Drosophila melanogaster: one gene and its partners. The protein of the gene in region 3 interacts with the protein of the main gene of each other region in a pairwise test. Each region holds a gene or a part of one and is shown on either strand. Other genes may lie near its edges. The genes, in order: Irp-1A, Jon99Cii, CG9083 and CG15198.

Region 1 (9,536 bases), on a different chromosome or scaffold from region 3:
TTTGGGATTGTTTAAATTGAAATCGCTCTATTGTGCCAGACAAAAACGCGACGGAATATTTCAGTCATCATTGGGGGGCGTATTTTGGCTCAATGACAAAAGACGGAAGCTGGGGTGATGAGGTGCAGTCCCCACATAAATTATGCTGCAAGGCGGACTGCAACTAAGCATTTTGAATGCTGGAAATACCGACATGCTAATTATCCATTCGCATTCCATTGTTATACCCTAACTGAGAGTACAATAGAATAGGTCAGACTTGTGACAATTTATGTACGTTTGTAAAAAAAATATCAGCATCTTGAAATGAAATTTTGAACAAATATTATAAAACAGAGTCTTCTTATTATCGATCTTGCTCAATAGTTGCTAACAAATAGGAAGTGTATCAAAATTTCGTTAAAACTGCATATTATGCCTAATTCGCACGATTCCCTGCCAATTTTAATATCTTCAGATACGCAAACAAAGATGCATATGTTTGTGTAAGTAGATGTTGCGTCTAATGTATCTCAAGATATTTCGACGGGCTAGACGGAGATAAATATAGTTTTACATATAGCGGCTAGAAATGTGGAATAAAAACAAAAACACATTTCGCAGATGAGCGAGTACCGACTTTGTGTGTGTGAGTGTGTGTGTGTGAATGAGTGGCATGGCAACAGGATCATAACGGTTAATTGCTATATAGAACGTAACGGTAACGGCAGGCAAAATTGGGGCAAACGGCCAAATGCAAAACAACAACAATGGCAAGGGCGAGGGAATTCGTATACACGTATGTTTATATATGTGTGTGTGTGTGTTGTGTGCTATGCGGAAGAACGGAAGCAAAACAAAATGCGATCTGTTTGAGTTCAGGAATATACCTTTCCTTGTAATAGTCCAGGGTTACCGATTCGGAATCAAATTCTGAATAATCTGGCAGCGATTCGGCATCAAAGGAGCTCATTCCGCTGAGCGTGTAATTGGGCAAGACGTTCATTTTGTTGTTGTAGCCAACAAGGTTACCCTGCTGCTGTTGTTGTTGCTGCTGCTGGTACTGCTGATGCATAGTTGTTGCTGTTTTTTCTACGTTTATTTTACTATATTTGCCTTATTTAACAATATGGCACACGCACACACACTCACGCCCAGGAGAAACTGGCTGCTATATTTTTTCTCTATTCTCTTTTCGCTGCCTTTTCACACTCTCGCCGTCTGCTTTGCACTTTCGCAAAAATATGCGTCGGTTTTGGGTTCAACCTGTATGCACTTACACTCTGCTTGAAAAGCTCTGTCGCTTTTCCACTTTCACATGTTCCTCGACCACTGACTTTTCTATATAATCAAAAAATAAAAACGACGAAAATAATAATGTTTTGCTTCCCTCATAGAGCTGGAACTTAAATCGATGTTGTCTCGATACTATCGTTTTGGCTGGGCATTTCTCGATAGCGATAAAGTGCCATGGAACTATCAGTTAATTTACATTTACCGTCAAATTATTTAATTTAACGAAGAAAGGAAATTAAAATAGCTTACATTTCGGATGTTTAAACTTTTATCAAAGCGGGGGCTGTGCTTTATAAAAATTTCCTAACAGTGAGGGAGAGACACTATCTGTCACATGTTATATCGGGCATGTAAACAACGCAATCTGATAATATATATATATTGCTGTATTAAGACCAACCAGAGTAGAGTAAAAATTAAGAAATCAGTACGTTTAATTATTTTATTGTAAGACTTAAGGTCAAAAGAGTTGTTGGAATGCAAAATGCAAACTTTGAAGTTTTAATTAACACGGAATTCAAACAAATAATCAATTATTATAAAGATATTTTTAAGTGAATAAAATTTTAATTATTGCTTAAGCATATTAATCACTGTGCTTGGCGCTTTTGTAACGGTTTTACGATGTATATCGCAATGACCACTTCCACTGACACGAAAAATAACGAAATCAGTGTGACCGTTTTCCACCGTACGAGAACGTAAGAAATCGGCGTCGCGTGGCTTGGACAGAGATTATCGAACAAAACAAAATCCGACTACAGAATCTTTTAACTTCGTTTACCCTTAAGAGTCCGCGGTGGATCCGAGGAATCGATGGCTACGGACACGGTGTCCAACGGCGAGAACTTCGCCCAGCACTTGAGCAGAAACAGCGACGACGACGTGATCTGTCCCACATGCGACGTGAAGATCAAGCGCAGTCAGGTGGCCGATCACTGCCAAGTGGAGATGGAGCGATTGCACAATCCCATTAGCGCTGTCACTCCACCGACCCCAACTAGCGGAGCAACCGCGTCCGAGGAATCCGGTTCGGTATCGGGGGGCAGACAACCGTGGAGCGTGTTCCAGCGGGTGCAGCGCAATCGGCAGGCCCGTCAGCGCCAGCGCACCAGGAAGCGTCCGGCTTCTCCTGCCCCACCAGCAACTGTAAATCCTACGGTAGCAGCTGCTCCTCCTCCAGCTGCAGCAACTCCGTCCGTAGCTGCTGCCGAATCGAGCCAACCCACCTGTCCCGTGTGCAACCACAACTTTCCGCAGTCCAACATCCAAGAGCATGTTAATCATTGCCTGCGCCAGAGCCGCCGCAATGGTCAGGCCAATGGTGAGCGGCATTCGAGTGAGGACTCGGAGGACAGCGAGGAATATGAAGAGTACGAGTGGGCGGGACAGAAGCGCATTCGCGTCTCCACTCTCGTGCAAGGAGGCTATTCCGCCCTGGGCCTGGGCCAGAGAATCAAATACAATGGCAGTCAGCAGGCGCAGGACGACGAGGACGAAGATCTCAACGTGGACGAGGATGACACTCACATCTATGGTCCTACGCAGTATGGCGAGGGCGATGTGATCCCACTGGTCAACGAGGACACAGAGGGAAATGTTTCCGAGGCGGATGTTACCAGCTACGTGCGCCGACTTATCTCCTCCAGCGATGGGCCCAAGCCAAACCATTCCAGCGAAGCCACCGAGCAAGAGCCTGCCAGCACAAGCAACGTGGAGGCTCCACCAGCCAGCGAGGAGCCGTCTACGTCGCGGTCCACGCGATCCACCTCCCAAAACCAGCAGCAGATCATCGAATCGCTGAAGGCCAAGCTGCGGCTCTACGAAAAGCAGGCGCAGGGCAAGTACAAGTGCCTGATCTGCATCGACGACTACAAGAATCCCGCCATCTCCGTGTCCTGCTGGCACGTCCACTGCGAGCAGTGTTGGTTGCAGACGCTCGGCGCGCGAAAGCTGTGCCCGCAGTGCAACTCGATTACCACGCCGAAGGACCTGCGACGAATCTACCTGTAGACGTCCATCACAGACTTGTTATCCCCGCTGCCAAATTGCTTGCGCCATAAAACAGGCTTTGCATCCCGACGCAGCTTTAGATGATAATCCCCTATACATATTATTTATATAGATTACAAATACCAATTATACTACGTGACATTACAATAAGCCTACCATGTAACTATTGCAATAAACCGCAGAAAACATAATTAATATTTAAGTTTATTTAACGAAATTAGCATGTAGGAAGGGAAAAGCGTTTAAAGACATGCAAACAAGTTATTTTAAATACCTTATTTTGAACTAAAATAAAAAAGCAATCAATCCAATATTATATCCAATATTATTTTCGAATCACAAAAATGATAAATTATTCCACTATAATTTACAAATGTTTCATTTTAAGTAATAAATAAATATTTTTTACTGTGTACCGGTTTGTTTTCATGTTCAGTTATCGATAATATAATGTTTGCGTTAGTGATGAGCAAGTTTTGCCTGGTAGCGGTTCCTCACGCGCTCATCTCTATATCACATTGCTTGGTTTTCTGTTTAATTTTTCCACAATGTCCGGCTCCGGTGGGATTTAATTGGAAAAAGGAGTATTTGATCTGTACGCTAATCCTGTCTTCCTTGCAGGCGCCAATCCCTTTGCCCAGTTCCAGGAGTCATTCACCCAGGACGGCAACGTCTACAAGTATTTTGATCTGCCCTCCATCGACAGCAAATATGGTTGGTAATCGTTATTGTTGTTCGTTATCATTATTGTTGTTATCTTTATGAATATTATTAACCCCCCACAGAGTCACTGCCCTTTTCCATTCGCGTTCTGCTGGAATCAGCGGTGCGCAACTGTGACAACTTTCATGTGCTGGAGAAGGATGTGCAGAGCATCCTGGGATGGACTCCATCGCTGAAGCAGGAAACCAGCGATGTGGAAGTCTCCTTCAAGCCAGCTCGTGTTATATTGCAGGTGTGGATTATTGCATCACATAGATTATGTTTGTATGTGACTTCTTAAGATATTCCCTGCTTTCAGGACTTTACTGGCGTTCCCGCCGTCGTGGATTTTGCTGCCATGCGGGATGCTGTCCGCGAGCTGGGCGGCAATCCTGAGAAAATCAATCCCATCTGCCCTGCCGACCTGGTCATCGACCATTCCGTTCAGGTGGATTTCGTTCGCTCCTCGGACGCATTGACCAAGAACGAGTCACTAGAGTTCCAGCGCAACAAGGAACGATTCACCTTCCTCAAATGGGGAGCTCGCGCTTTTGACAATATGCTAATTGTGCCACCCGGCTCTGGCATTGTGCACCAGGTTAACCTGGAGTATCTGGCCCGAGTGGTTTTCGAAAGCGACAGTTCAGCGGACGGATCTAAGATCCTTTATCCGGATAGCGTTGTGGGCACTGACTCCCACACTACAATGATCAATGGATTAGGTGTTCTCGGCTGGGGTGTTGGCGGTATCGAGGCGGAGGCCGTAATGTTGGGCCAGTCCATTTCCATGCTGTTGCCAGAGGTGATTGGCTACAGGCTGGAGGGCAAACTGGGCCCTCTGGCCACATCCACCGATCTGGTGCTGACCATTACCAAGCATTTGCGTCAGCTTGGTGTCGTCGGCAAGTTCGTGGAGTTTTACGGCCCCGGAGTGGCAGAGCTCAGCATCGCGGATCGCGCCACCATCAGCAACATGTGTCCGGAATATGGAGCCACTGTGGGTTACTTCCCAATCGATGAAAACACGCTGAGTTACATGCGCCAAACCAGTGAGTCAATCTTAAAAATTATCTAAATTTATTACTTGATATCCATGGATGTGGATCATTAGATCGCTCCGAGAAGAAAATCGATATTATCCGGAAGTATTTGAAGGCCACTCGACAACTTCGTGACTATTCCCTTGTGGATCAGGATCCCCAATACACGGAGGTAAGTGAGATTCTGTTTTTCCAATGCAAAGACATACTAACGAATCACTTTTTTACCCTGCAGTCTGTAACTTTGGACTTATCCACCGTGGTGACCTCGGTTTCGGGGCCCAAGCGACCGCACGATCGCGTTTCAGTTTCCAGCATGTGCGAAGACTTCAAGTCGTGCCTCATAAGTCCTGTCGGCTTCAAGGGATTCGCCATACCACCGAGTGCATTGGCTGCAAGTGGTGAATTCCAATGGGACGATGGGAAGAGCTATAAGATAGGTCATGGATCTGTTGTGATTGCCGCCATCACCTCGTGCACGAACACTTCGAATCCCTCGGTGATGTTGGGCGCTGGTCTGCTGGCCAAGAATGCCGTGCAGAAGGGCTTGAGTATTTTGCCGTATATCAAGACCTCATTGTCACCAGGATCTGGCGTGGTTACCTACTATCTGAGGGAATCCGGTGTGATTCCCTATCTGGAGCAGCTGGGCTTCGACATTGTGGGCTATGGCTGTATGACCTGCATTGGCAACTCGGGCCCGCTCGATGAGAACGTAGTGAACACCATCGAGAAGAACGGACTGGTTTGCTGTGGCGTCCTGTCGGGCAATCGCAATTTCGAGGGTCGCATCCATCCCAATACTAGGGCCAATTATCTGGCCAGTCCGCTGCTGGTGATTGCCTACGCGATTGCCGGCCGTGTGGATATTGATTTCGAGATCGAACCGCTGGGCGTGGATTCCAACGGCAAGGAGGTGTTCCTGCGCGATATCTGGCCAACGCGCAGTGAGATTCAGGAGGTAGAGCATAAGCACGTCATTCCCGCCATGTTCCAGGAGGTGTACAGTGAGTATAGCTAGCTGACTAAGATTTTTCCGCAGCTCTAGGCTAACTGTGTCCGCTATCACAGGCAAAATTCAACTGGGATCCAGGGACTGGCAAACGTTGGAGGTGTCGGATAGCAAGTTGTATCCATGGAGTGAAATATCAACATACATCAAACTACCACCGTTCTTCGAGGGTATGACTCGTGCGCTGCCCAAACTTAAAGGTATCGAGAAGGCTCGCTGTCTGCTGCTTCTCGGTGATTCAGTGACCACCGATCATATCTCGCCAGCCGGATCCATTGCACGAAAGTCACCGGCAGCGCGCTATTTGTCGGAAAGGGGTCTAACGCCGCGCGACTTTAATTCGTATGGATCCAGACGTGGCAATGATGCGGTGATGGCACGCGGAACCTTTGCCAACATCCGTCTGGTCAATAAACTGGCATCCAAGACGGGACCCAGCACACTGCACGTGCCCAGTGGCGAGGAGATGGACATCTTCGATGCGGCGGAACGGTATGCGAGCGAAGGAACACCTTTGGTTCTGGTCGTAGGCAAGGACTACGGCAGTGGCAGCTCACGTGATTGGGCCGCCAAGGGGCCATTTCTGCTGGGCATCAAGGCGGTGATTGCTGAATCGTACGAGCGCATTCACCGCTCAAATCTGGTGGGCATGGGCATCATTCCGCTGCAGTTCTTGCCTGGCCAGAGCGCCGATACCCTGAAACTGAGTGGCAGGGAGGTGTACAACATTGTCCTGCCCGAGGGCGAACTGAAGCCGGGCCAGAGGATTCAGGTCGATGCTGATGGCAATGTCTTTGAGACCACGTTGCGTTTCGACACCGAGGTGGACATAACGTACTACAAGAATGGCGGCATTTTGAACTATATGATACGCAAAATGCTGGATTAGTTAGTGCGTTCGTTGACTTTTATATTCCATATGCATTTCTAGGCGACTTTTAATTGTTATTATGTGCTGGGAAATAAAATTTGACATTCATCTGTGAGATGATAATTATTAAAAAAAAAATATTTCAAATATTTTATAATATTTTAAATTGCGCGCTCTGGATGTTATCGATAGCAGAAATGCCGATGGCCAAACCAGTCCTGCTAAAAATGCCTAACGCCTGCTGGTGAATCATCGACAAGGCAGCAATAAAATCGAATAGTCCCTGTTATATCGCTGTTAACTTAACATAGTTCGCTGCTTCTTTTTTTGTCCGTCCCGTGGACTTTTCTCCAGAGGATTTTGATTCCAATTCGCAAAAGAAAAACATAAATAAGCAACAGATCGTGTGTTGGCCAATAGCTCTGCAGCCAGTGCTCGATATTCACTTGGAAGAACCGCGCAAAAACGCAACAACGCAGCAGGAAAGTCGCGCCTCCGCCTCCCCACCAAAAAAAAAAAACACAAAAAAAAAGAAAAGATCTCGGATCGCACAGGGTTTTATTTTGGGCAACCGCACTTGGACTGGTGGGTGCTTCGGTTCCCTCGACCTGTGGATAGTGCCCAGTGGCGTCGCGTCGCTTTGGATTATGTCATTTGTTTATGGGGAATTGCCGCAGGCCCAGTAGCCAATGTTGCATCCGAAAGAGGCAGCGAAAACCTGTAAAAATGTAGACTGTGTGCGTGTGTGTGTGGGCCAGTGCTAGTGTGTGTCCGTGTGCCGTGTGTGTCCACGTGTGTTTGTGTGTGCGGATAATGGACGTTTAGTTTTTGGTCGAATCCGCAAGATATATAGTGAAATAGGTATAGGCTAGAGATCCCAGGGAGCGGTAGCCATACATATATGTGCACAGCCACCGCTACCCGATGGCCACGTTTAATCCTGGCGCCAGCAGCAGTGCCGCCGACGTTCTGAGCGCCACCACAGCAACGGCTACTTTTCTGGTGCCCACCACTGCGGCAGTATCGCATCCTGGTGCCCATACCGCCCATCTGCAGCTGGATCAATTCGGAGGCTTCTCCGCGGCGACGGCCACTCCCCTGCAGCACCATCACCATCAGCAGACCAACTCGTCGTACACTTTTGTGCAGATCAAGAGGGAACCCTGCCAGGTGTCCGAAATAAGCTCGAACAATTGCCACCAGCAACAGCAGCAACATCACCAACACCACCAGCACCAGGTGCAGCATCAGGGCCTGTCTTCCGCCTCGATGACCGCCTCCTCCAAGACCATGTCCTCCTCCACACTGACCACTCTCGTCAAAATAGAGGCTCCCTCGCCAAAGGTATCGGAATTGGAAAAGTCCACAGGTAGGTGACACCCAGCCACTGGTCAAGAGCACTCCTCATCGGTTAATTACGATTCTATCAGGCAACTCCGTTCCCATTGGCATCGCCGTGGCCAGGAAACGCCCGCAAGAAGCTCTGGTGCCGGCTATCAACACCCCCGCTACGCTGCCGCTGCAGCCACCACTCAACAAGGACTTGAACTGCTTCGGCATACGCGTCGCTGACCTCGGTGAGTGCCAAGCTACACAGAGAGAAATGCAGCTTCATCTCATGGAAATAATAAGTTCTTAGTGATATTCAAGGGGATGTAAACTGTTTTAAGGTATCTGCTATCTTTGAGATACCAAATGATTTACTTAAAGAATCATTAGATATTTCTAGATGCTGTTTTCCATTTGTGTTAAATGATATGTAAATTTAAGACAATCACTGTCTTGTGCCATACATTTTTTCCATCCGTGTAACTTCTGGGCATCTAATTCAATTGAGTCACCAGATTTGAGCGCCCCTAATGAACGGCGCTTCCCAAGGGACAACGTTATATGATGCTTATGATGCCAGGACGTGGACGTCGTTCAATTATGCCACTAATAAGATTGCCAACAAACGTTCAGCGCTGTGCGGAATTCCATCAGTGAGCAATGGCCGAGGGTGTCGTCTCCGCCTTAAACAACCCGCTGGAGTTTAGAGGGCAGGAATCATATGATGGCCGCCTGTTGTGCGGCTGTCGTTGTTGTGACAGCCACCGAATCGACTGGATTCGACTCAAAACGGCTCATCCCCATATCCATCCTCCCTTGCGGGCAGAAGGAAACCCGGTGGTAAATCATACGAACTTCTAAAGCGGAAGTGAAACGAAAGTGAAACACATTGCGATTTGAGAAGGGAGGCTTTGCGTCGCCTTGGCTCTGGTCGACTTGAAATTGCTCTTTAGATGGGCACATAAATATGTTTATATTTTTTTGGGGGTGTGTTTTGTCGCCGTAGCCAGTCGAATTACATTTTCCGGATTATTTTTAAAGTCTGCTAATGGTGAAATAATCAACCATGCCCATGACACGAACATGAACTTTATGATCTTGGATGGGTTACTTTTTCATATCAATCTATTTACAAAATAGTACCAGATGTGCCATAGCCTTAATCAAAGAGCAAGAGTACAGGAAACTGTGTACTTTGTTTTAATCACTACATGGAATTTCATGTTATTCTTTAAATGATAACGTCTATAAATGGTTAGAGCAATATGATGGCAGGGAAATGAATCATTACACT
Region 2 (7,375 bases), on a different chromosome or scaffold from region 3:
CTTAATTACTTCGATATGTTCAAGGATTTAAGAGCGCGGAACTTGGAATGATATAACACCTCTTGGTATGTCATGTCAGGATTTAATGTTCTCCTTTCACATTTTTAGTTTGAGCACTAAAACCGCAGTGTCAATGCCCCGAGTTCCTGTTCTGGCGATGCCGCTGATACGGAGGAGCGTGACTTAATCGCCCCACCTTAAAAGGCAATCGCGAAGCCCGTTGTTATGGGCATCGCACACGGCAAACAGCGCGGTCCTTTAAACGCTTCGTCGAACACTTTTCACTCACTCGCTTTATAGGATATCGTCGGCTTGGCTCGACTCTTGTGCTGCCAGGATGGGGTACATATGCATTAAATTAATTAATGACTGCACTTTTGTGTTGCACTGCCCGAAGGAAGTGGGCTACAAGTGTGGGAATGTCCTTTGCGAAGGGAGCGCGCTCAACTTTTAATTGTATTATTTATGCTTTATTTACTCGTCGCGTTCGCTCGGATCCTTGCGCGTTATCCTTGCGAGCGGTCTGAATGCCCGGACGCCCAGTCGGGAACTGACTCACGCTTCGTTGGGGGTCGGCTTTAATAGCTCTCCGTTCTCCGTTTTCCGTTCCGTGTGGTGAGTTTCCTGCCCCGATATGTTGCACATTTCAGCGTGGCACTACGTCGGCGGAAGGACGGTCAAGGGGAAGCTCGGAGAATGCAAACAAAGGCATTCCCAGTAGCTTCCTAATGAGGAATGGGTCCGCCATTTCGCCCACTCCGCCCGAGGCGTTCCTCAGAAACTATATCGGATTTCAAGCCATCGCCTCACTTTGAGTGATACTGCTGCTCCGTAGTTCCGAAAGTGGACCTCCCTTTTGATTGCCATAATCGTATTTTCTTTTCTGCTTCACTATTCCCTGCAATACTTCAAGGATATCACATGACCCTCGATTGCCATTTCTGTTCCTTGGGGTTCTTTGAAGTCCCCCCCATGACACCTTGCTTGCACATTTTCACTTGTTGTGCTGTGACATATATTACTGGGAATTTATGCATAAACTCAACCATTGCATACAATTTGAATATATATTTTGAGGTACGATTATAAACTTTTGCTTTTCTGAACTTGAAGTACATAATCCCATAACGCACTCTATTACTAAGTTAATCCATTGGGTGGCATAAATTAAAATAATTTATTGCACGATAAGCTTGTACACTTCTATATGTGCATCGATAGTGACTTCATTGGTCTATATAAAAGTGTGAGACCAACAGGAGATTTTAGTATACAAAATGAAGGCTTGCGTACCCATATTGGCAGCCCTTTTTGGATCAGGGAGCAGACTGGCATTTACTATTAACCATGGTTAATAATTCTTTATGATTTAATAAAATTAAATGAATTAAATTGCTTGAACTTGTATCCACTCAGAATTGATTGAAGCACTCAAAACACTCTTATTCCCTTTGCTAACACTTCATTCATACTGCCAAACACTCGTCTTGAGTATCTGCTAGTATAAATCAAACTTTTTCGTTGATAAAAGTGCTGCGAGATAAGATTTCGCACTTTGAATTAGCATCGATAGTGATTATGGCTAAGCTATATAGTATTGGGACCACCATGGGAGCCTTTTAGTCTTTCAATATGAGGGGTCTTACACTCTTGTCGCTCGCCTTCCTTGGGGTCTGTAGTGCCCTAACTGTGCCCCATTCGCTGGTCCATCCACGCGATCTGGAGATTCGTCATGGAGGGATTGAGGGTCGTATTACCAACGGAAACCTGGCGTCCGAGGGTCAGGTTCCCTACATCGTGGGTGTGAGCTTGAACAGCAACGGAAACTGGTGGTGGTGCGGCGGATCCATAATCGGACACACTTGGGTGCTCACTGCTGCCCACTGTACCGCTGGGTGAGTTATTTGATTTCACAAATAATTAACGCTCTTTGATAAATCATCGTATTGCAGTGCTGATGAGGCTTCACTGTACTATGGTGCCGTCAACTACAACGAACCTGCCTTCCGCCACACAGTGAGCAGCGAGAACTTCATCAGATATCCCCACTACGTTGGACTCGATCATGATTTGGCCCTGATCAAGACTCCCCATGTGGACTTCTACAGCCTGGTCAACAAAATAGAGCTTCCCAGCCTGGATGACCGATACAACTCTTACGAAAACAATTGGGTTCAGGCCGCCGGATGGGGTGCCATTTACGATGGCAGCAATGTGGTGGAGGATCTGCGAGTGGTGGATCTGAAAGTGATCTCCGTGGCGGAGTGCCAGGCTTACTACGGAACTGATACCGCCTCCGAGAACACCATCTGTGTGGAAACTCCGGACGGAAAGGCCACCTGCCAGGGTGATTCTGGTGGTCCTCTGGTCACAAAGGAGGGTGATAAGCTTATCGGAATCACTTCCTTCGTCTCCGCTTACGGATGCCAGGTTGGAGGACCGGCTGGCTTCACTAGGGTCACCAAGTACCTGGAATGGATAAAGGAGGAGACTGGAATCTATTATTAAAAAAAAACTTTACTAATTTCAAAGCAAAAAGGTGCTTAAACAAGTTTTAAATAAATGAAGAACATATGCTGTTATATTTTGTGTATTATTAATTTCTTGGAAGATAGTGGCATATTCATGTTTAGAGATAAAATTACCAATAATACATAATCAATACATTACATATTACATAATACATACCATTTAATACATTACCTATGTAATATTAACCTATTAGTGTTTTATTTTTTGATAATCTAAAAATCAACTTGTTGAGAACAAAAACTGTACAATGTGCCGTATGAGTAATATTTTATCACACTTTTTTTTGAAATTGGTAGTAAATACTTTCAATAAACATTATTCAGAATTTAAATTTCTTAAAGATCATAAAATACTTTACTCCTCATTTGGGTAATCTGAGTATATAATATATTTTAGGTGAAGTGAATGTCCTTACATGATACTATCATACTGAAGAGTAAGTTGCAAATAAGGCACATGTCATTCCACTTCAAATTTAGGCCATAATTTACAAAAAAAAAAAATCACCTGTAGTGGACTTATCAGTCGACGATGGCTCGCGATGATAACTTGATTAAAATTTACTGCCCTCCCATTTTACATACGTGTGGAAGGAAGGGCTCTTGGTCGAGATAAGACTACGGACCACTTCTGTATATAAAGGCGCTTCGACATCGGAACACCATTGAGTTGCAAGACTTGACCAAGATGAAACTGTTCGTATTCCTGGCCTTGGCCGTGGCCGCAGCTACTGCTGTGCCCGCTCCCGCCCAGAAGCTGACCCCGACGCCCATCAAGGACATTCAGGGTCGCATCACCAACGGCTACCCAGCCTACGAGGGCAAGGTGCCCTACATCGTGGGTCTGCTCTTCAGCGGCAACGGAAACTGGTGGTGCGGTGGCTCGATCATCGGCAACACCTGGGTCCTGACCGCCGCCCACTGCACCAACGGAGCCAGTGGAGTGACCATCAACTACGGAGCCAGCATCCGCACCCAGCCCCAGTACACCCACTGGGTGGGCAGTGGCGACATCATCCAGCACCACCACTACAACAGCGGCAACCTGCACAACGACATCTCCCTGATCCGTACCCCGCACGTCGACTTCTGGAGCCTGGTCAACAAGGTTGAGCTGCCCAGCTACAACGACCGCTACCAGGACTACGCCGGATGGTGGGCCGTGGCCTCCGGATGGGGCGGCACCTACGATGGCAGCCCACTGCCCGACTGGCTCCAGTCCGTCGATGTCCAGATCATTTCCCAAAGTGATTGCAGCCGCACCTGGTCTCTCCACGACAACATGATCTGCATCAACACTGACGGAGGCAAGTCCACCTGCGGAGGCGACTCTGGTGGCCCCCTGGTTACACACGACGGCAACCGCCTGGTCGGAGTGACCTCCTTCGGATCCGCCGCTGGCTGCCAGTCTGGTGCTCCCGCCGTCTTCAGCCGCGTCACCGGATACCTGGACTGGATCCGCGACAACACCGGCATCTCCTACTAAGCAGTTGATGTTCAATAAACGATTATAGCAAAAATGAAAAATTCGACCAAACTATTTATTCAGTTGTAGATTGAGGGGCACATTATTGAGAGCTAAATATTTATATATTCTATTATGTACATTAAATGTACATATATTATAAAACTAAAAGTAATCTCATATTTTCCTTAAATGTTTTTAAAACGAGATTGTTTAACTTATTTTTATATCCTATTTTTATATTCTATCCATATGATAGCTGTTGAACGCTAGTAGCGACTATAGGGTATTCCTATATTTAAAACTGTTTAAGCTAGGAAAGTCCACTTGCAGCTATTTATAATAACATAAATTTATATTATGTTTATGCACTTTAATTATGTTGCAAATATAACAAGTCCAATATTCTACATACACCATTTTCAATCCAGTTTGCTTTTTATATACATAATATACATAATAATTATAAACAATACATAATAATAATACATAATAATAAGACGTATGATCCATATATATATATTTGCATATAGTCCGATGGTTCGTCATTATGTGTTCCTAAAGCTTGATTTTTTCCGATACATAAATCGGAAATCGGAATAAGTTTATTTCCGTTTGCAGTTTAATATATTTCCCTTCACTTGGAAATATTTTATTGATTTCATTACTTAAGCAAGAAGACATCTGAATCCCATCCCAAAAACAGAACTTGAGTTGCTTGCTATAATCGTTTATTGAAGAAACCCCTCAGAATTAAGGAACATCAACTGCTTAGTAGGAGATGCCGGTGTTGTCGCGGATCCAGTCCAGGTATCCGGTGACGCGGCTGAAGACGGCGGGAGCACCAGACTGGCAGCCAGCGGCGGATCCGAAGGAAGTCACTCCGACCAGGCGGTTGCCGTCGTGTGTAACCAGGGGGCCACCAGAGTCGCCTCCGCAGGTGGACTTGCCTCCGTCAGTGTTGATGCAGATCATGTTGTCGTGGAGAGACCAGGTGCGGCTGCAATCACTTTGGGAAATGATCTGGACATCGACGGACTGGAGCCAGTCGGGCAGTGGGCTGCCATCGTAGGTGCCGCCCCATCCGGAGGCCACGGCCCACCATCCGGCGTAGTCCTGGTAGCGGTCGTTGTAGCTGGGCAGCTCAACCTTGTTGACCAGGCTCCAGAAGTCGACGTGCGGGGTACGGATCAGGGAGATGTCGTTGTGCAGGTTGCCGCTGTTGTAGTGGTGGTGCTGGATGATGTCGCCACTGCCCACCCAGTGGGTGTACTGGGGCTGGGTGCGGATGCTGGCTCCGTAGTTGATGGTCACTCCACTGGCTCCGTTGGTGCAGTGAGCGGCGGTCAGGACCCAGGTGTTGCCGATGATCGAGCCACCGCACCACCAGTTTCCGTTGCCGCTGAAGAGCAGACCCACGATGTAAGGCACCTTGCCCTCGTAGGCTGGGTAGCCGTTGGTGATGCGACCCTGAATGTCCTTGATGGGCGTCGGGGTCAGCTTCTGGGCGGGAGCGGGCACAGCAGTAGCTGCGGCCACGGCCAAGGCCAGGAATACGAACAGTTTCATCTTGGTCAAGTCTTGCAACTCAATGGTGTTCCGATGTCGAAGCGCCTTTATATACAGAAGAAGTCCCTTGTCTTATCTTGACCAAGTGTCAAACTACCCATATGTTGAGCTGGAGGGCAGTAAATTAATGTCATCCAGATTACATAGGAGCAAAAAGACAAAAAATAAACAACGCAGAGGCTTGTACAGCAATATAAAAAACGTAAACTTATCAGTGTTCAATGATTTGCGAATCAGTTAAAAATACAATAAATTTAATGTTAAATACTACTCATCGGATGCAATTCATAAAATCATTTTCTACGTGGGTACATTCAATTTGTTTAAACACATAAGTATCTTATCGGTGCCATAAAGCAAATCAGCATTGATACTATAGATTTTTACGATCATGTTGAGGGCTTAGAGATATAATTTTAATACAGATGGCCATAAAATGAATTTTATCCCGCAATCTTGACGGTTTCCGGTGGGGAGACAGTGAAAGTGCAACCTGCTACGCAAACCCAGGGAAAATGAGCTCTTTCGCTTTTCTCGTGGAGAACTGAGCACATAACTCACAAGGGTCCTTAAAAGCTAAATAAGGCAGGAGTTTTGTTGGAGGCCAATGAATCATTGAGTGCAACCCAGTTGTACACTGCAGAAAATCATGTATAAACCCAACATAGCATTTAGTTAATGGGAACTTATAAGAAGAATGTGCATTTAGCCACATTTGTGTAATGAGGAGTACCTTTATATAATTACGAGAATGCCATCCAGGTATTTTCAGCTATGGCCTCTAATTAATTCGCACTTAATGAGTTCCCCTCGACAGCTGTGACTTTAATTTTGAAATTCCTTGGGCCACCATCACTTCCTTCCTCTTCTCTTGGAAGCCATGCGAGTGGAGTGTGGAGTGCATTGGCCCCGCTAAAAACCCCGTACGACTTGAACACGTACGATGCCATTCCGCCCGGAGCTCCATTGAACCCCACCTTTCGAACACACACATTCATCTCAAAGGGCTGCTCCGTGAAAGTGGGCTTGTTCCTTTTCCTTTTCTCCGCCTTTAGCCAGGAGCTGGCATTTAGTTCCAAGTGCATTGACACACAAAAGCCCTGCGAGCGCCCTGAAGTAAGCAACATTCAACATTCAAGGCTCAAGACGCTCGGCTGCCAAGGACGAGTTGGGTCTTAGATGTACACCACCCCACCTCCCCCTCCCACTTCCCATGCAGATTAATCAATATTCATCAATCACAAAGTCAGAATCACTGACCCAGTGCCCAAAAGGCATTCGAAATCATTTCAATTCGGTAGATACTCGACTGTAAACTGCAGGTGTGGTGTGTTTTCCGGCTCTGTTGGTTAGCCAAAAGCTTAAAAGCTTGCATTTTCTCCTATTTTTAAGGGCTTTTCTCGGTGAATAGTTCTAGGATATGAACCCAAGTCCATGAATCCCTATTTACTCGCAAATTAACACCCTCATGCTACTTTTTGAATATTAAGTAGCTTTGAATTTCGGCTTGAATAGGTGTCAAAAAGTATGCAAAGTGCGTATTTTTTTTTTGGGCATTGATCTATATTGCTGGGTACAAAATATTAGACACCTATTTAATTTCATATCTCAACTGTATGCATCATTTCATCGAAATATAAGCAGATAATATTGTTCCATTTAGCACGTTTTGTTTTTCACTTACATATAAACCCACTGGGCAGTATTGATTTGGATTTTCAGGCATAAAAGTGGTGCGATTCCGTTGCTGGGGCTTCGAAAATCGAAAGTCGCTCATCACGTGCAATGCAACCACAAATGGACGAAAGAT
Region 3 (7,701 bases):
TTTTTATCCCTGAAACCAACAATTGGCTTAAGAATAAACTAGCAGGTCAAGTTATGAGCTCAAAGATTGACATTCTTCAACAGCCACCCACAGTGCCATATAAAAGGCAGTTGGGGTGGGGGGACCAAAGGCATTTCCTTTTTGTGCGTGTTGAGCGTTTTCCTGCCACTTCCCGAACTCCTGTCCTGCTGTCCGGTCCTGCTCATCAACATAATTAAATAGCATTGCTCATTGTGTGCCGGTTGTGCCTTGGATACGGGGCATGTGCTTGGGTCTGGGGCACTTGGGTCCTGTGTCCTGGGTCTTGGCCAATAAAACGAAAATGGAATCGAACCAGCTTAATGGCGGGGCAGAGTGACCCTAAGGCCGTTTAAATAAATGATAAACAAATCGAAAATGGGAAGCGCTTTTGTCGGACCGAAAAGTTTCGGCTGATGACTGGCCATAAGTTACGCAATCGTTTTTGCAGGCGCCGATAGAGAGCGCCATTTGTCCTTACAGCAGGAGTGAGTGGGTGGGCCTTGGGTTGATAAGTGGGCGCAGGGCGCCATTGTCAGCGGAGTATATTCACTGGGGAGGTGAACAATGCACAAAGGCCAGCAGGCGCTGCCATCTGCGGATTACGAATATGAACGGAAACGGAAACTAATTAAATATGTAGAGCAATTGTTGCTGCATCTCGCTTTATCCTACCGATTCACTTTTTCACTTTTGTTTGTCCCGCATCACTGCAGCCAGTGTTTCGGTTTCTCCTTCGGCTCGGCTTGGGCTGGGGCTTGGACCGACCACCTTCCTTTCCGCCTTGCCAGTCTCGAATTGGATTTGGTTTTTGGCCAGGGCCAGGAAGCAGTCGAGAGCAAGCGCCCCAACTGCGAGGGGCGTAATTGCCCTACCCCCTAAGCCTCCGCTCCGAGTCCAAATCCCAATCCCATTTCAATTTCCATTCCCATTCCCGTCACCATTGAACTTGCTCAAAGGTCTGCGCAGCTGCAACTGCAACAGAGGCAGCAATGCCAGTTGCAACTGCAACAATGGCTGCACTTTAAACAACAAACTTTGAAAGTTAAACCAGGAAATCCGAAGCAAAGCATGCAGTACATAAGGAGTATCAAGAGAGCACCATAATATAGCAGAAAATCGAATTGACTTTTTCAAGACTTTCCCCACAATTCTAAAACTGTTGCCCACAATCTCGTGAATCACTTGTAGCACACCTTTTTCTCTCTGTGTGTGGATGCAACTGGTTTTTTGGGAAAACCACGACATTGCACGTCGCTAGTTGCTTTTAGTTTCTGTATCGGTGTGCAATTTCCTTTTTGTTTTTGGGCGCTTTGAGAATGACTTTGCTTCCGCGTGAAGATGCGACGGCAGGTCTGGAGTTTCGAGTCGCGAGCCCGGGTCGATTATGCAATATGGGGAAGATGTGCGTCTTCGTTGCATCTGATGTTAATGTGCGACCGCCAACCGGTTGCCCATCGTCATTGCCGTCATCGCCGGGGCAGCAGAAGCAGCTTCATCATCGTGAGCGTGGCCCTCTCTAGCTGAAGATGTAATCCCCATTGAAAGATGCTCTGATGGCACTGGAGTGCAGCCCATTTGCTCCAGCTCAGCGGCTTCCAGTTCGAACTTCATTCGGCACAGCATCGTGATTATGACCGGCGATGTGGCTTTATTGGCAACAGATTATTGCGTCGGTGTCCCGCTTGCTGCTCCCAGCTAGTTCCTTATGTAAGCCCGCTTTGTTTACAATCCGAAACAGTTTAAATGTATATTAATTATTCGGCAGTGATGGAATCTGCCGAGCGAGCAGTCAGCTGCCTAGCTCCGTAGCTGCCAGATGAGAAATGATAATCAGCGACGTAATCGAAATGGCCGGATGGCCCCGATTCGCTGGCTCGGCCCAAGTCACTCACTGCTAATGAAAACAGTGGCTAATCAACGGCGAAAGCATGGCGGCGGGGGTTGTTGGGGCGTCCAGATTGGTGGGTGGGTGAGTTGGAGGTGTTGGGTGGCCAGTGGCCATGACCTCTCTCCGCTGCCAGTCGGACATCTTGCTGATGTAAGCGCGAACAAAACCCACGGCGCGTTGCCTTTTGCCCATGTTGCAGCGCGGGGGCATGACAAGATATTTTTGATGTTGCTGCAGGCGAGGCTTAACCCAATAGCGCTCGAGAGCCTCTCGCCAAACGGCGACCTGACCTGGCCCAATCCAAAGAACAGTAACTGGCTCCTTCCCTGCCTCACAGCCGCGGCACCACTGCTTCGCGTTGGTAAACAAAATTATATTGATAATTTCCGGCACTGGTACGGCCATCAATGGGTTAATGACTAGCGACAGTGAGCAGCCAGCGGGCAGCAGCCAACCCGGCCAACCCTTGGCCAATCGTTATGCAAGTCTGGACCAACAATAAGGAATTGCCAATAGGAAGTTCGTCGTATCTACATAAAAATCCATAAACATGAACGTCAACAAAATACCTAACGGTTAACAACCAGCATCGGCGATGTGATAAAGTAGCAATAGCAACGAGCTCTGGGCCAAAACTGGAACTGGTCAAGTTGCATATTACCACAGTTTGAGTTTCGGTTTTAGCTATTTTCGGCCGCCAGCCCACGAAGCTTAGGGCCACTCAGATTTTCTCTCGAAAGAAAGTAGAGCACAGAAGCGAATGCTCCTCGAGAGAGTGTGTTAGTGCACTGGGAGAATCCGTGTATTACAATTACAAAATAAAAGTCTTAGATTTAGAAAAACATTTTTATGCAGTATCCAAGCTGCTTTCGTAAAATATGATTTTCTTACGTAAATATAGCAAAAGGAATTTAAGATATCTTTTAGCGATCTTAAATTGGTCTACGAAACCGGTTTTGTTTATCATGTAAAATATTGAAAATGGAAAACCAAAGATGATTGATACACTTAAGTTGGCATCACACCATGGGATTTAAAATAATTTTGAGTCACAGACCCTTTTTTACGTTATCCGTGTGGTATTGCAATTGGGCACATGCTGGGGATGATGATGTGAAAGGTCAACACTCTCGCGATCTTCAGAAAGGGAGAGTGAAGACTGGATGGCCGAGAAGAAGACGAAGACGAAGACGCGGCCAGTTGGCCTTCAATGGGTCGCGGTCGTGAAGTCTCCAGTGGTCTGGCTCCACTTCATTCAGCTCGTCGTCGGCGAAAGAGATTATCTCTGCACTTGCTCAGCGGCAAGCGATCGCTTATATAACCGCATGGCTCCCGAGTGGAGAAGAGGGCTATAAAACGGCGTGTGCCCATGTTTGCCGAATCATTTCCAGTCGGTCCAGAGGCGAGCAATCATTCGAGAGTCCTTCGTAACGAATCCAGAGAAATGGCAGCCCGTTTCATAGTGAGTTTGGCACGACACCACGTCAGTTCAGGTGGATCCTAACACAGATTCCCTCCTCCCACTCCCAGATCAGTGCGCTTCTGCTGGCTAGCCCAGCGGTATGGGGAAAGCCCACCTTCGGACGAGAGCATGTCCACATCCGTATTCACCTGCCAGAGAGCGGTGGGGATCACGGCGGCCACGGAGGCGGTGATTTTGGCGGCCACGGAGGCGGTGATTTTGGCGGCCATGGAGGTGGAGGCTATGAGATTCACTCCCACGATGGCGGATACAGCGGCGGTGGAGGAGGCGGTGGTCATGTGAACACCTATGCTGTTATCACCGAGAACCACGGATACAGTTCCGGGGGTGGCGGAGGCGGTGGAGGTGGCCACGGATACAGCTCCGGCGGATATAGTTCCGGTCATGATGATGCCAAGATTGCTGCCATCGCTGCTGCTGCTGGCTCGTCCTCCGATCACGGACATGGCGGACATGGAGGCAGCGGCGGACACGGCGGAGGTTATGGTGGCCATGCCATCGCCAACATTGCAGCCATCGCCGCCAGCTCAGACTCCTCTGATCATGGTGGCAGCGGAGGATACGGCGGCTACAGCGGTGGCGGTCACAGCGGAGGAGGTCATGACACCCAGGTGATTGTGGCTGCTGCTGCGGCTGGAGATTCACATGGCTCTTCCGGCGGATACGGCGGCGGATCCTCCGGTGGATACAGTGGTGGCTCCTCCGGGGGCTACGATGGTGGATATTCTGGTGGATCCTCTTACAGCGGAGCCTCCTCCTACAGCAGCGGCTCGTCCTACAGCTCTGGAGGATACAGCAGTGGACATGGCGGTGGCTATAGCAGTGGCGGCGGATCCAGCTATGATACACAAGTGGTGGCTGCAGCCGCTGCTTCAGGCAGCGGTGGCTCCTACGGCGGGTCTTCCGGCGGCGGTGGCGACGGATACAGCTACTCAGCGCCGGCCTCAGGCGGCTGGGCAGGATCCAGTTCAAACTGGAAGTAGACGGCAATGTCCGTCGTTGGCCATCTGGTCGTCTAGTCTACTGTTCACGTTTAACTTATATTTGACATGTTCGCTCATCCATATTCCACACATTCTCCCAAGATACTGGTGTACAAAATAAACCATGTTAGTGTAATAATTTAAGCCAGCCGCCCAGTATGTGATTTACCTAATGCTTGCCCAGTTTTTGCCGATTTTTCTCCGCCTCTTTCATCGGAGCTATATAGTGGCGCTTAAACATGTCATAGATGGAGAAGTACACGGCACTCATCAGTCCTGCCTTGAGTAGAGTAGGCAACATTCCCTTATAGAAGCCTCCGATTCCTTCCTCCCGAAACGTGGTGGTGATGCAGCCCAGGATCGTAGGGCACTCGGGGTTGCGACCAAAGGTCTTACGTTCCTGTTTGAAGGCCATCAGCTGGATGCGCTTTTTAAGCAGGTCCGCCGGGTACACGATCATCTTGGCCAACACCCCTGACAGCGCCCCATTGAGAAACAGAAATGCGCCGTGGATTTCCTGGCGCTGGTCGGGAGGCTTGGCCATCAAGACAGCCGCGTTGAGGTACTTGTAGAAGAGAAAGTTTGCCCCTACCAGCGGAAACACCTGCACAAGCGTGAAGGGTAGTCCTCGGGAAAGTCCCATCCACCCCTCCATCTTATAGACCTTTCGAAGTCCGGTAAAAGTGTTCATCTGACTGCGGCGCGAGGAGGGGTCTGCGGCCACCATCTGTGTTCTTACCACGTCGAACGGCTGGGCGGCCACGGCTCCCAGACATCCGGCTATGCCGCCGCAGATGAAAAACATGAGAAAGGGTCGCTCCCTCCAGTAGTCAAACTGGTGGGCCATGGAGCGAAGCTGTTCGTAGGACCAGAACTGTACCAGAGCGTACGAAATGCTCAGAACCTGGCCGGAGTTGTGACCACGGAACATACCGCGCATTCCCTCCTCGGCGTACACCGACTTGAAAGCGTGGATGACTCCACGGTATTTGGACCCCTTATGGTTTGTCACCGGCTCCACTTGCATCTGGAATCGGATCTTCAGAACGTCCAGCGGCTGGGTTATGGTCCGCGTCGCAGCTCCGGCGATTCCGCCGCCGACGGCCTGCATTAACTGGACTACCACCGAGTTTTCGGGCATCGGATGTGGCGACGAGCAGTGGACGGATTCACTCACGGCAGGAGTTATTCACTGTACAGATGAGGACGAAGTGGTGTGTTGTCATTCCGCAAGCTAAATTTCCTGCTACTGTATAAGAAAGTGGCTAGGCTTTTATTAAGCTCTGGCCAATTACACAGTATTTTCCAATTTAATATTTAGTCGAAATTTTAAAATACACAATAATTTCTCTGACAAGAATGTAAAAGCTTAAAATTTTTAAGGTGTCTACGTACTTTAGTTGGGGTCTGCATGTGAATGTACATACATTTCTATGCTTGTGTTGGTTGTCGCATTATTAATCCCTTCGATCTCTTTCAGCTGTCGCCAAGCACCAGGTTGTCGCGTACACGCAGAGGTCGCAGGTTAAGCACGAGAACCGGCACATCCAGCTGGTGCGGGAGTACGGCTTCCACCCGCGCACTAAGGCCTCCGTGGAGGACGGCGACGTGCTGCCCCGCAAATTCGAGCCCTTTCCGGAGCACATGTACGGAAAGCCGCTGGAGGAGATTGACACCTTCATTTACGAGGAGGTGAGTACTGCCGCGTTCAACATTCCCTCATTATCCGCGGCCTCGCCTCACTTGGCCGCCCATTGGCTCTAATTAAAAAGTCACAGGCAGGCGACCAGACCCCAGATCCGTGTTCTCATGGTAGGGCAATCCTCGTGGTGGCAGGTGCAGGCGGCGGAAATGGAACGCGGCGCGCGGCTGTTGTTGCTTTTGTTTTCATACCGCCGTCTCGCTGCACTTGCCCCATTGTAGGCACAAGTGGAAGTGCACTTTGGCTCAGGGAAACTGGGGTTAATGGAAACGCCTAGAACGGCCCTCGAAAACCGAAAAGGAAATCAGGGTAAATGCCGTTCGTTCGTTAAATTTCAAAGCCGGGAATAAATTTTGGAACTGTGTACATCAAACAAAGGACACACAGTTGCAAACACGTCTGCCCAAGTGTTAGTGCAGGCATGAACTCGGTGCTGGAAATATGGGTCATGTCATGCACAGGGCTCCGGGCAGCAAAGTTGACAGCCGTATTTACGTGACTCAAACAAACTGGCCGGAGCCGCTGCCGCAGCAGCCGCAGAGGACAAATTATAGGCGAACATGCAAGTGTACTCAAGACTTGGCGGCTTTCGCGCCACGTGTCGTGGCGAAATAATTCCGAAAAGCGGCCTAGCCGGACGAACTGGACTGGGACTGGGCTGAATAAACATGCAAGTGGCCAGCCCACGGGGCTGCACTATAATGGGAGTTACGGTGAGCGATAAGATGAGCGTACCTGTGACGCCGAGTGATGTGTTTTATCGATCTACCTGACATCCCACTAAGTCCAAGACAAACAAAGTCCGGCAATCTATAATTAAATCTTATTGGCGACACGCTTGCAGTCCGGGAACATCCCCTTGCGAATCTCGACGCTCTTTCTGGGTCACTCCTGCGATGGGTGCTGCAATGTTGTCCCACATTCTATAATTAATTCCTGATTGGTTAGAACAGAATATCTCCGGTTGCCCAATCTGTTGACCGCAGGGCTTTGTTTAATCCATTTCACAGAATCAGCCAACTCGCACAGCACCTACATTGCAGGGTACCTCCGAGTAATTCTGGCGTCATCGAAACTTAGTATTGTGACCAGTGATTGTTTAGAAACAATACAGTTGGTCTCATAAGCTTTTTGATTTTCAATTCAATATGCTCTGAAAATAATGCAGGGTATTAAATAATTAAAACTTTCGACTATTTCATTTTAATAATAGCCAAGGCAGTGCTACTAGGCGCGCTCAGTGACTATTGTTCATCTCTGATAGTGTCCTGGGAACTAGGCAAACCAAACATTCTTAGACCATTGCTTTGAGTAACTAACCCAGTGGCTCCCATCCGAAGCCCTTACTGCTAGTCTCCGATGAAAATGGGTTGCATGGCTTTTAAACAGCCACTGCAGGTGCAGAATCAAAGTGCATTGCATTGCATTTTAAAGGCCATCTGCTGGCAAACAACGCCCGCCTGCTCGTCTCCGGCGACACGATAAGACACAGACGCCGCATGTTTGCAGGAATCTGTACAAGCTTCTACACAGCTTTTCATTTCTGGCACTTAAAAATACACACGCTTATCCCTAAGCTGCTTGCCGTAACCACCAACAGCATTTCGGGCAGGAAACTGGAAAG
Region 4 (7,369 bases), on a different chromosome or scaffold from region 3:
AATTTTGTACACAATTTGCCGCCAAATGACCACCACAAATGCTCGTTATTTCGCCGCCAAACAAGTTTCGCCCACTAAAACAAATTTAAATTCAATTTGCGCGCGCTTTAAACTCAATTAAAGTTTCTGGCCTTAAATAACATTTAAATGCCATGTCATTTGATAACATAAGCCAGCGATTTGTCACTTGGGTATGGAGTATGAGGTATGAGAAATGGAGTGCCGAAAGTTGGGTGGACTTTTGGCTGCTTATTTTTGGGGGCTGCTGGCGCAATGGAGTCGCTGCTTTTCGCAGGAAGCCAACTTGTCATTCATCAAACTTTTTCAATAAAACTTTTGCGCCGCTTCTCATCGCTGGCCAAGCTGCAAATCCGTCGCCCATTGCAAATGTCGAAAATACTTTCTCCGAAAGTGGTGAGAGTCAAGTGTGGGCGACTGAGATTCAAAGTTCCTGTGCTCCGAGAGTTTCGATTTCTTGTCTACTGCCATTGTCAACAGTTACCCATGGCCAGCTACGCTAATCCACTGCCACAATTTCCATCGGCATCAACTCAATATACAATTTAATAGAAAATAGATATATTTAGATATTTATATTTATATTCCCTTGTAAATGCAAACAAGACTTACTCATTATTTTGTTTACCTTTGACGACGTATTTGATACTCTGGCATCAAATGAACCCCATATTTATCTCAGTGTAAAACATTCGAATCCAAAGCTCTGACAAACAAATATTATATTGTTTTCCATATCGATTTCCTCTCCAACCGTTCCTGCATTCAATTTTCAGGATGAGCCATGCAACTTTTATGTTGAGCTCATCATTTTGCCAACTGCTCTTGTACGATGGCAAAAAAAGGGGTGGGGGTGTGGGTGATGGAAATTGGGCGGGAAAATCGAATAGGGAAAATACTGAATGGCAGGGAACTAAGCGGAACAGACAAAAAACAAGGATGAACAACGATGAAGACGGAGAGCTCTGGGCGGGCAAATTGACAAAAGAAGCTGCTCGAAGGACTCGATGGCTGAGTGAACTTCCAAGGAGCCAAAGGAGCCAAAGGGGATCCGCTCTCATAGTTGAGCCGTAAACAATCAATGCAATCTCAACTTGGGGAGCACGAGCACCCGGAGCTCCATCAATTTCCATAATTAATCATGCAAGACACAGCAGACACAAAAGGGTTAAGCGAAGGATTTCGTTGCTCTTCAGATTAAATCAAATCAAATCGAATCGAATTGGAAAGTAACAATGTAAAAGTTTTGCTCGACAATCCGTTGAGGGTTCCCAAAAAAATAAAAGAACTTATACAAATTTGATTGATTGTGCCTTCGCCACAGGCAAACAGATTTGGGCTTCAAATTCGTGAATCTACTTAACAATATTTAGGAAATTTAATATGTTATGCTGATGGCAACACGGCGCATGAGTAATATGTTATAAATCATACGCCGCGTTGGCAGAGCACATTTTTTGCGAGGAAACAAAATTATAACAATAAAAGAATTTCAAAATGAAATTCAATTTAATCTTTAACAATTATTTTTGGCCTACGGCAATCACCTTAAATCTAAAATTACTTTTTCACAGGTCCTGAAATACTCGTAAATAAAATTTCAAACACAATAGAGAGAGGCCAAGCAATTTCCAGCTTCAGGCGTCGCCCACAACAACAAAAAATACATACACCGCAAACGCCTAATAGATTTTCAATAGAAAATCCATTCAAGGACGCTCTGATGATTTTTCGTTCGCAAAAAAAAAAAAAGTTCGCCATGCATAAATTTCGGCCAGGCGACAAAAACAGCCGCGGAACCGCAGGCGCGTTTTACGAGCGTTTTTTCCCGCCTGCCAACCTCAAGATGCGCACAAAAACAAAAAAAAATATGTATATCTGCAACGCGGCCAGGCCAACGGCTGTGGATTCATGGCCATGAATTGACCCAAACTGAAAATGGTTAGCACGTTTTTTGGCAGGGGTTAGTCATGGCCAACAATCGGGTTAAAGGCGGCGCGGTTAGGGTAAGGGTTAAGGGGTTCTACGGGTGAAGAACAGACATTGCCGCTTACGCTTTGCGATGCAGCCCCAGGCAACCAGCAGAGTTTTCACAGCTACACAGAAAGAAAAAAAACAGAAATCAAAAAGAAAAAATCAAATATGTAAAGTACACTCTGAAAAGAATATAAAACAGAGGGTGACAAGTGAAAGTGGAAGAGTGCTTTTGAAAAACTAAAACTTTACAGTGAAAAAAAAAACGCTCTTTAGAAACAGAAATCATTAATGATAATATTTAAATTTTCATTTGTTAAAAAGGTTAAATTTAACTACTTTTTTTAACCAATTGAAATAATATAATTCAAAACAACTTCTTAAGAAACTGACAAATGTACTTTAATCATATCACATATCTAAGTTTCGGGTTTCCCTCTTTCCTTACAAGAAATTATCTAGCTCAAAACTAGAAGCTTAGGAAAATGCATGAAATGCCCAAGTGGATGCAGTTGCTCCTCTTACAAAAGCTGCCTTACCATTCTGTGTGGTGCTGCCTTGGAAGAGGTTCCGCAGATACGTGATCAGCCGCCGGTGGAGCGGTCGATGCCGATGGCGCGATGATTTCCTATGCGAGGAGGAGGACTCCTGACCGCCACCGCCCTGCTCCACATCTTCCACGTCCAGGGTGGAGACAATCGCTGCCCCCGAGCCCGCTGCACCCGAACCCGGACCACTGGCCACCAGCTCCTTGCCGCACTGACTGGCGTCCACAATAATCTCGATGCTGCGTTGCGTGCTGGACTTTTTAATGCCCAATGCCGCCGTGGAGCAACTGCTGCCGGAGGGACCACCACCGCCACCGCCGGAGTTAATGGTGCTGATGAGGGCATCTGTGACACTGGATCCGGTGCCAGCGATGCTGCTCACCGTCTGGTGATGCATCTGCTGCTGCTGCTGGTGCTGCTGGACCGCTCGACCTGTGAGCAGGTGATGCTGGGCGCTCGAGGGCAGCTCGTTGACGGTGCCATTGCTGTGGCTTCCACGATAGATGAGCTCCGTTTCGTTGCTCACCTGGCGCAGGGCATGCAGTCCGGTGTGCGATGCACTGCTTGACATTCCGGCGGAGGATCCACCACCTGCGCCGCCGCCTCCAGCTCCTCCTCCTCCTCCGCCGCCGCCGCTGCCGGAACCACCATTTAGACCCGTGTAGTAGGCGCTATTCGGTCGCTGGCTGTGCTGCACCTGTGGCCCGGCCATAATGTTTCTCTCAGTGTATGTTATGTACTGCTGGAGCGGCTAGAGTTCCACCTCCTTCTGCTGCTCCTGTTCCTGCTCCCGATCCTCTCTAGCGGCTGGCTTTAATTGTCGCTGGCTGGTTTTAGTGGTTTTAGTAGCATATTGGACAGTTACATGGTTACGGCGGTCACTTTGTTAGGCAGATTGGGGTTAAGCGGTGCCGCATCTGCGAGAAGCGAGTAAAATCGAGCAGAATATATATGTTAGTTCCGATACTAAGGCATTTAGGTCTCTAAACCGATCAATTTCTTTAATTTAATTTCATTTGGGAATTAATTAGTTTCCCAAAAACAGTACAAACAAACTGTACCAAATGCTTTCGAAGCTGGGTACTTTATCGTGTTCCCATATTATTTTCTAATTATCTTAATTTGATCGGAATAGAGTAAATAACAAAGAAAACTATTTCCAGGAATTTCCATTTATTCCATTTGCCAGCAGCGTTGCATTGTTAGTATGCGTGCATGCGTATGTGTGTGCGTGTGTGTGCGTATGTGAATTATAAAGCTGTTGTAAGCGCACTTGTTAGCCCATTTTAATCCTATTTACTAAATGATACACTAAACTAGACAATTGCCTTCTCAGTAAATTGCGGCTAACTAAGTTGCCAATGCACATCGATTGAGATGCTAACGCACATTGTAACCTATTAAATTTATGCAAAATATTACAACTAAATTAAACATTTGTTATCCCAAGTAAGTAGGCCTCGCAATGAAACTCGCATAGATAAAACCATCCGTGTGGTTGACTTTTGTTCAGTATTGGGGCAAACCTTACACCGAACAGTTCGGAAAACTAGCCAAAAAAAAAAAAATTCAAAATTTTTCCGTGTGAATAACTCCGTGTTTTTCCACATTTTCTACCTTTGCCGTTTAAACGTTGCTGCGCTCACCATCACCATGAAAACCCTCGAGTCCGACGACAAACCCTTCAATCCCTTCTACATTGGCCCACATCCCAGCAAGGCGTGTGCCATTCCCGAGATTCCCGGCCAGCAATGCTCACCCAACTGTCAGCCAACTACTACGACCACCAATGGTTCTCCAACGGATGCAACGGATCCCAACAGTTTGCCCAGCGGAGCTGCGGGCGGCATGGTAATCGTGGCCAACATATATAGCACCGTCGAGGTCCTGGCCGCCGCCGCTCGTATGGGCGGAGCAGCGGGCACTGGAGGGGATCAGGGTGCGTCGTCTTCCAACAACACCACATGCAAGCCGTATCCCTGCATGGAGGGCGCTCGCATCGATGGTCCTGGCTGTGGTTAGAACCAGAGGAAGTTCACATTGGATCAGAAAGCTTTATCTACCAACTGGCTATTTGAATAGGCTAACTCGCAACACCAAGCTAGCCCCAAATACAAAAATAAAAGGCCCAGAAAAATAATCCATTCGTATTTTTTCTATAGTCTGTCGAAAAATGATCAGTCTTTTTCCTACAGCAATGTAAATAGTTGTCCAAATATGGAATGCCATACCTCGTTGAACTCGTCATAAAATTGTCTTTCGAATGGCATTCACAGTTAAAAATGTAATTTTTTTTCAATTTTTCGCAAAAAATGATGATGTTACCCCTTATAAAAAATCTGAAAATTTGAAAAAAATCAATTTTTTCAAATTAACAAAACGGTTACAGAAATCGTTTATTTGGATCATTAGCTGTATAAAACAGTAATTTTTTTGAATAAGTGACCATTTTTGGCCAAGTTATAGCAAACTGAATTCTTCGAAAAAATCATCATTTTGCCAAAATGAAACACCAATTTTTCAACAAAATATAATCATTATTTTGTTCATAGCAATAAAGTTATTTATCCAAACATGGAATGCCATACCTCGTTGAACTCGTCATAAAATTGTCTTTCGAATGGCATTCACAGTTAAAAATGTAATTTTTTTTCAATTTTTCGCAAAAAATGATGATGTTACCCCTTATAAAAAATCTGAAAATTTGAAAAAAATCAATTTTTTCAAATTAACAAAACGGTTACAGAAATCGTTTATTTGGATCATTAGCTGTATAAAACAGTAATTTTTTTGAATAAGTGACCATTTTTGGCCAAGTTATAGCAAACTGAATTCTTCGAAAAAATCATCATTTTGCCAAAATGAAACACCAATTTTTCAACAAAATATAATCATTATTTTGTTCATAGCAATAAAGTTATTTATCCAAACATGGAATGCCATACCTCGTTGAACTCGTCATAAAATTGCCTTTCGAATGGCATTCACAGTTAAAAATGTAATTTTTTGTCAATTTTTCGCAAAAAATGATGATGTTACCCCTTATAAAAAATCTGAAAATTTGAAAAAAATCAATTTTTTCAAATTAACAAAACGGTTACAGAAATCGTTTATTTGGATCATTAGCTGTATAAAACAGTAATTTTTTTGAATAAGTGACCATTTTTGGCCAAGTTATAGCAAACTGAATTCTTCGAAAAAATCATCATTTTGCCAAAATGAAACACCAATTTTTCAACAAAATATAATCATTATTTTGTTCATAGCAATAAAGTTATTTATCCAAACATGGAATGCCATACCTCGTTGAACTCGTCATAAAATTGCCTTTCGAATGGCATTCACAGTTAAAAATGTAATTTTTTGTCAATTTTTCGCAAAAAATGATGATGTTACCCCTTATAAAAAATCTGAAAATTTGAAAAAAATTTATTTTATCAAATTAACAAAATGGTCATAGAAATCGTTTCTTTGATTTATTAGCTGTATAAAAAAGTACTTTTTTTTTTGAATGGGTGACCTTTTTTGGCCAAGTTATAGCAAATTGAATTAGTTGAAAGTATGAATTTTTTGCAAAATGTGGTGTTTCAGAAATCCTTTGGTTAGTTATATCATAGCAATGGATCATTGGCTGAATGCCAATTATTTAAGAAAGCCAGTTGGTTACTTAAATTTTCGGCGGCTAAAGAGTTTTCCCGTTAACTGTTCAACAATAAACGATTCGAGTGGAATCCCATTCGGGGAGCATTATTTTTGGAAAGAAATTCGTTCGTACATTTGCAAGCCGTTGCGATGGATTTCATCTGAAGCTGCAGCTGCATCATTTATGGTTCGCTGGCAACTGGCAAATGGATCAGGAGCAGGAGCAGCAGCATCCACATTCACATGCACATCATCCTTTGGCCCAATCGTTTGGGGCGCTGCAGGAGTGCGGTGCGTTCGGCCTGGAGTCTATCGAACGTATTGCTTTTGCAAATTCAATGAAGTAAAAATTTATTATTTATTGATAGACTTATGCAACTGCACAACAGCAGCACCATCAGCAGCAGCAGCAGCAGGAACAGCAACAAGGAGCTGAACACTTTATGCCGCCAACCTTGCAACCTTTATGCTGCAACCGAACAGTGTTGCAAAGTTGGTCATACTCGAAGCAGTTAACCATTTACTTTTAGCCCAACATTTCAACATTTTTAAAAAGTAGATTCTATAATTTATATAGGAGCAAAAAAAAAACTTATGTAAACGTATCTTTGCGTAAGAATACTTGGAATTTAATTTACTTGAATTAACATTTGCAATACCCATTGAATGATTATATATTTTTATTTATTTATAATTAACCTTAGAGTGCACAAGTAAAAAGTAACGCCTTTCGGTATTGAACTTAATCTTAGTTGAATTGTGTGAAAGCATTCATCAGCTCTGCTCTGATTTGTTTTTTTTTTTTTTTTTGGGTTTTATTTTGGCATCCCTGTCGAGGACACCATGTATGTACATATGTATGTGTGTTCGCCTTTCTGTGTGGGTGCGTGTGTGCATGTGTGTGTGTGTGTGCACTCGTCCTGGTACTTGGCAAAATTGCAGTCGATGCTGCTGCCAGTGCTTTTGCTTTTGCTTTCTTTGCCAGCACCTGTTTGCCAAATGATTTATGCATTTCACCCATTTTGCCGTCGACGATGCCACGTGCAACAAAACTAGCAAACAACGGCAAAAAACTGCAACAAATGCAAGTGCAACCCGCCGGCAATAACAACAACATTTAATGTGATTTTCTTGTTAAATGCGAGTTGAGTCGAGTCGAGTTGAGTCGCGTGGAGTCGCTCTGTTCG

Evidence for each region.
Region 1: the proteins of CG9083 (region 3) and Irp-1A interact in a two-hybrid assay, tested with the Drosophila melanogaster proteins (one large-scale study listed by BioGRID).
Region 2: the proteins of CG9083 (region 3) and Jon99Cii interact in a two-hybrid assay, tested with the Drosophila melanogaster proteins (one large-scale study listed by BioGRID).
Region 4: the proteins of CG9083 (region 3) and CG15198 interact in a two-hybrid assay, tested with the Drosophila melanogaster proteins (one large-scale study listed by BioGRID).

What each region holds. Positions count from the first base shown.
Region 1 is NT_033777.3:22,718,825-22,728,360, reverse strand, and holds Irp-1A (iron regulatory protein 1A), read left to right. Parts: upstream 1-3,773; 5' UTR 3,774-3,836; coding exon 3,837-3,849; exon of another isoform or gene 3,850-3,909; coding exon 3,910-4,002; exon of another isoform or gene 4,003-4,013; intron 4,014-4,073; coding exon 4,074-4,243; intron 4,244-4,309; coding exon 4,310-5,039; intron 5,040-5,101; coding exon 5,102-5,202; intron 5,203-5,265; coding exon 5,266-6,037; intron 6,038-6,101; coding exon 6,102-6,931; 3' UTR 6,932-7,041; downstream 7,042-9,536. Other genes in the region: CG45049 (uncharacterized protein), read right to left, coding at 870-1,054; RNF220 (ring finger protein 220), read left to right, coding at 2,092-3,288; wge (winged eye), read left to right, coding at 7,838-8,282, 8,344-8,490.
Region 2 is NT_033777.3:29,920,432-29,927,806, reverse strand, and holds Jon99Cii (jonah 99Cii), read left to right. Parts: upstream 1-3,191; 5' UTR 3,192-3,219; coding exon 3,220-4,017; 3' UTR 4,018-4,053; downstream 4,054-7,375. Other genes in the region: Jon99Ci (jonah 99Ci), read left to right, coding at 1,633-1,895, 1,953-2,508; Jon99Ciii (jonah 99Ciii), read right to left, coding at 4,768-5,565. UniProt on the Drosophila melanogaster protein: Major function may be to aid in digestion.
Region 3 is NT_033778.4:24,894,989-24,902,689, forward strand, and holds CG9083 (uncharacterized protein), read left to right. Parts: upstream 1-3,284; 5' UTR 3,285-3,353; coding exon 3,354-3,371; exon of another isoform or gene 3,372-3,439; coding exon 3,440-4,375; 3' UTR 4,376-4,517; downstream 4,518-7,701. Other genes in the region: NaCP60E (Na channel protein 60E), read left to right, coding at 5,856-6,067; Tpc2 (thiamine pyrophosphate carrier protein 2), read right to left, coding at 4,545-5,516.
Region 4 is NC_004354.4:11,244,216-11,251,584, forward strand, and holds CG15198 (uncharacterized protein), read left to right. Parts: upstream 1-4,020; 5' UTR 4,021-4,193; coding exon 4,194-4,562; 3' UTR 4,563-4,670; downstream 4,671-7,369. Other genes in the region: CG44422 (uncharacterized protein), read right to left, coding at 2,532-3,252.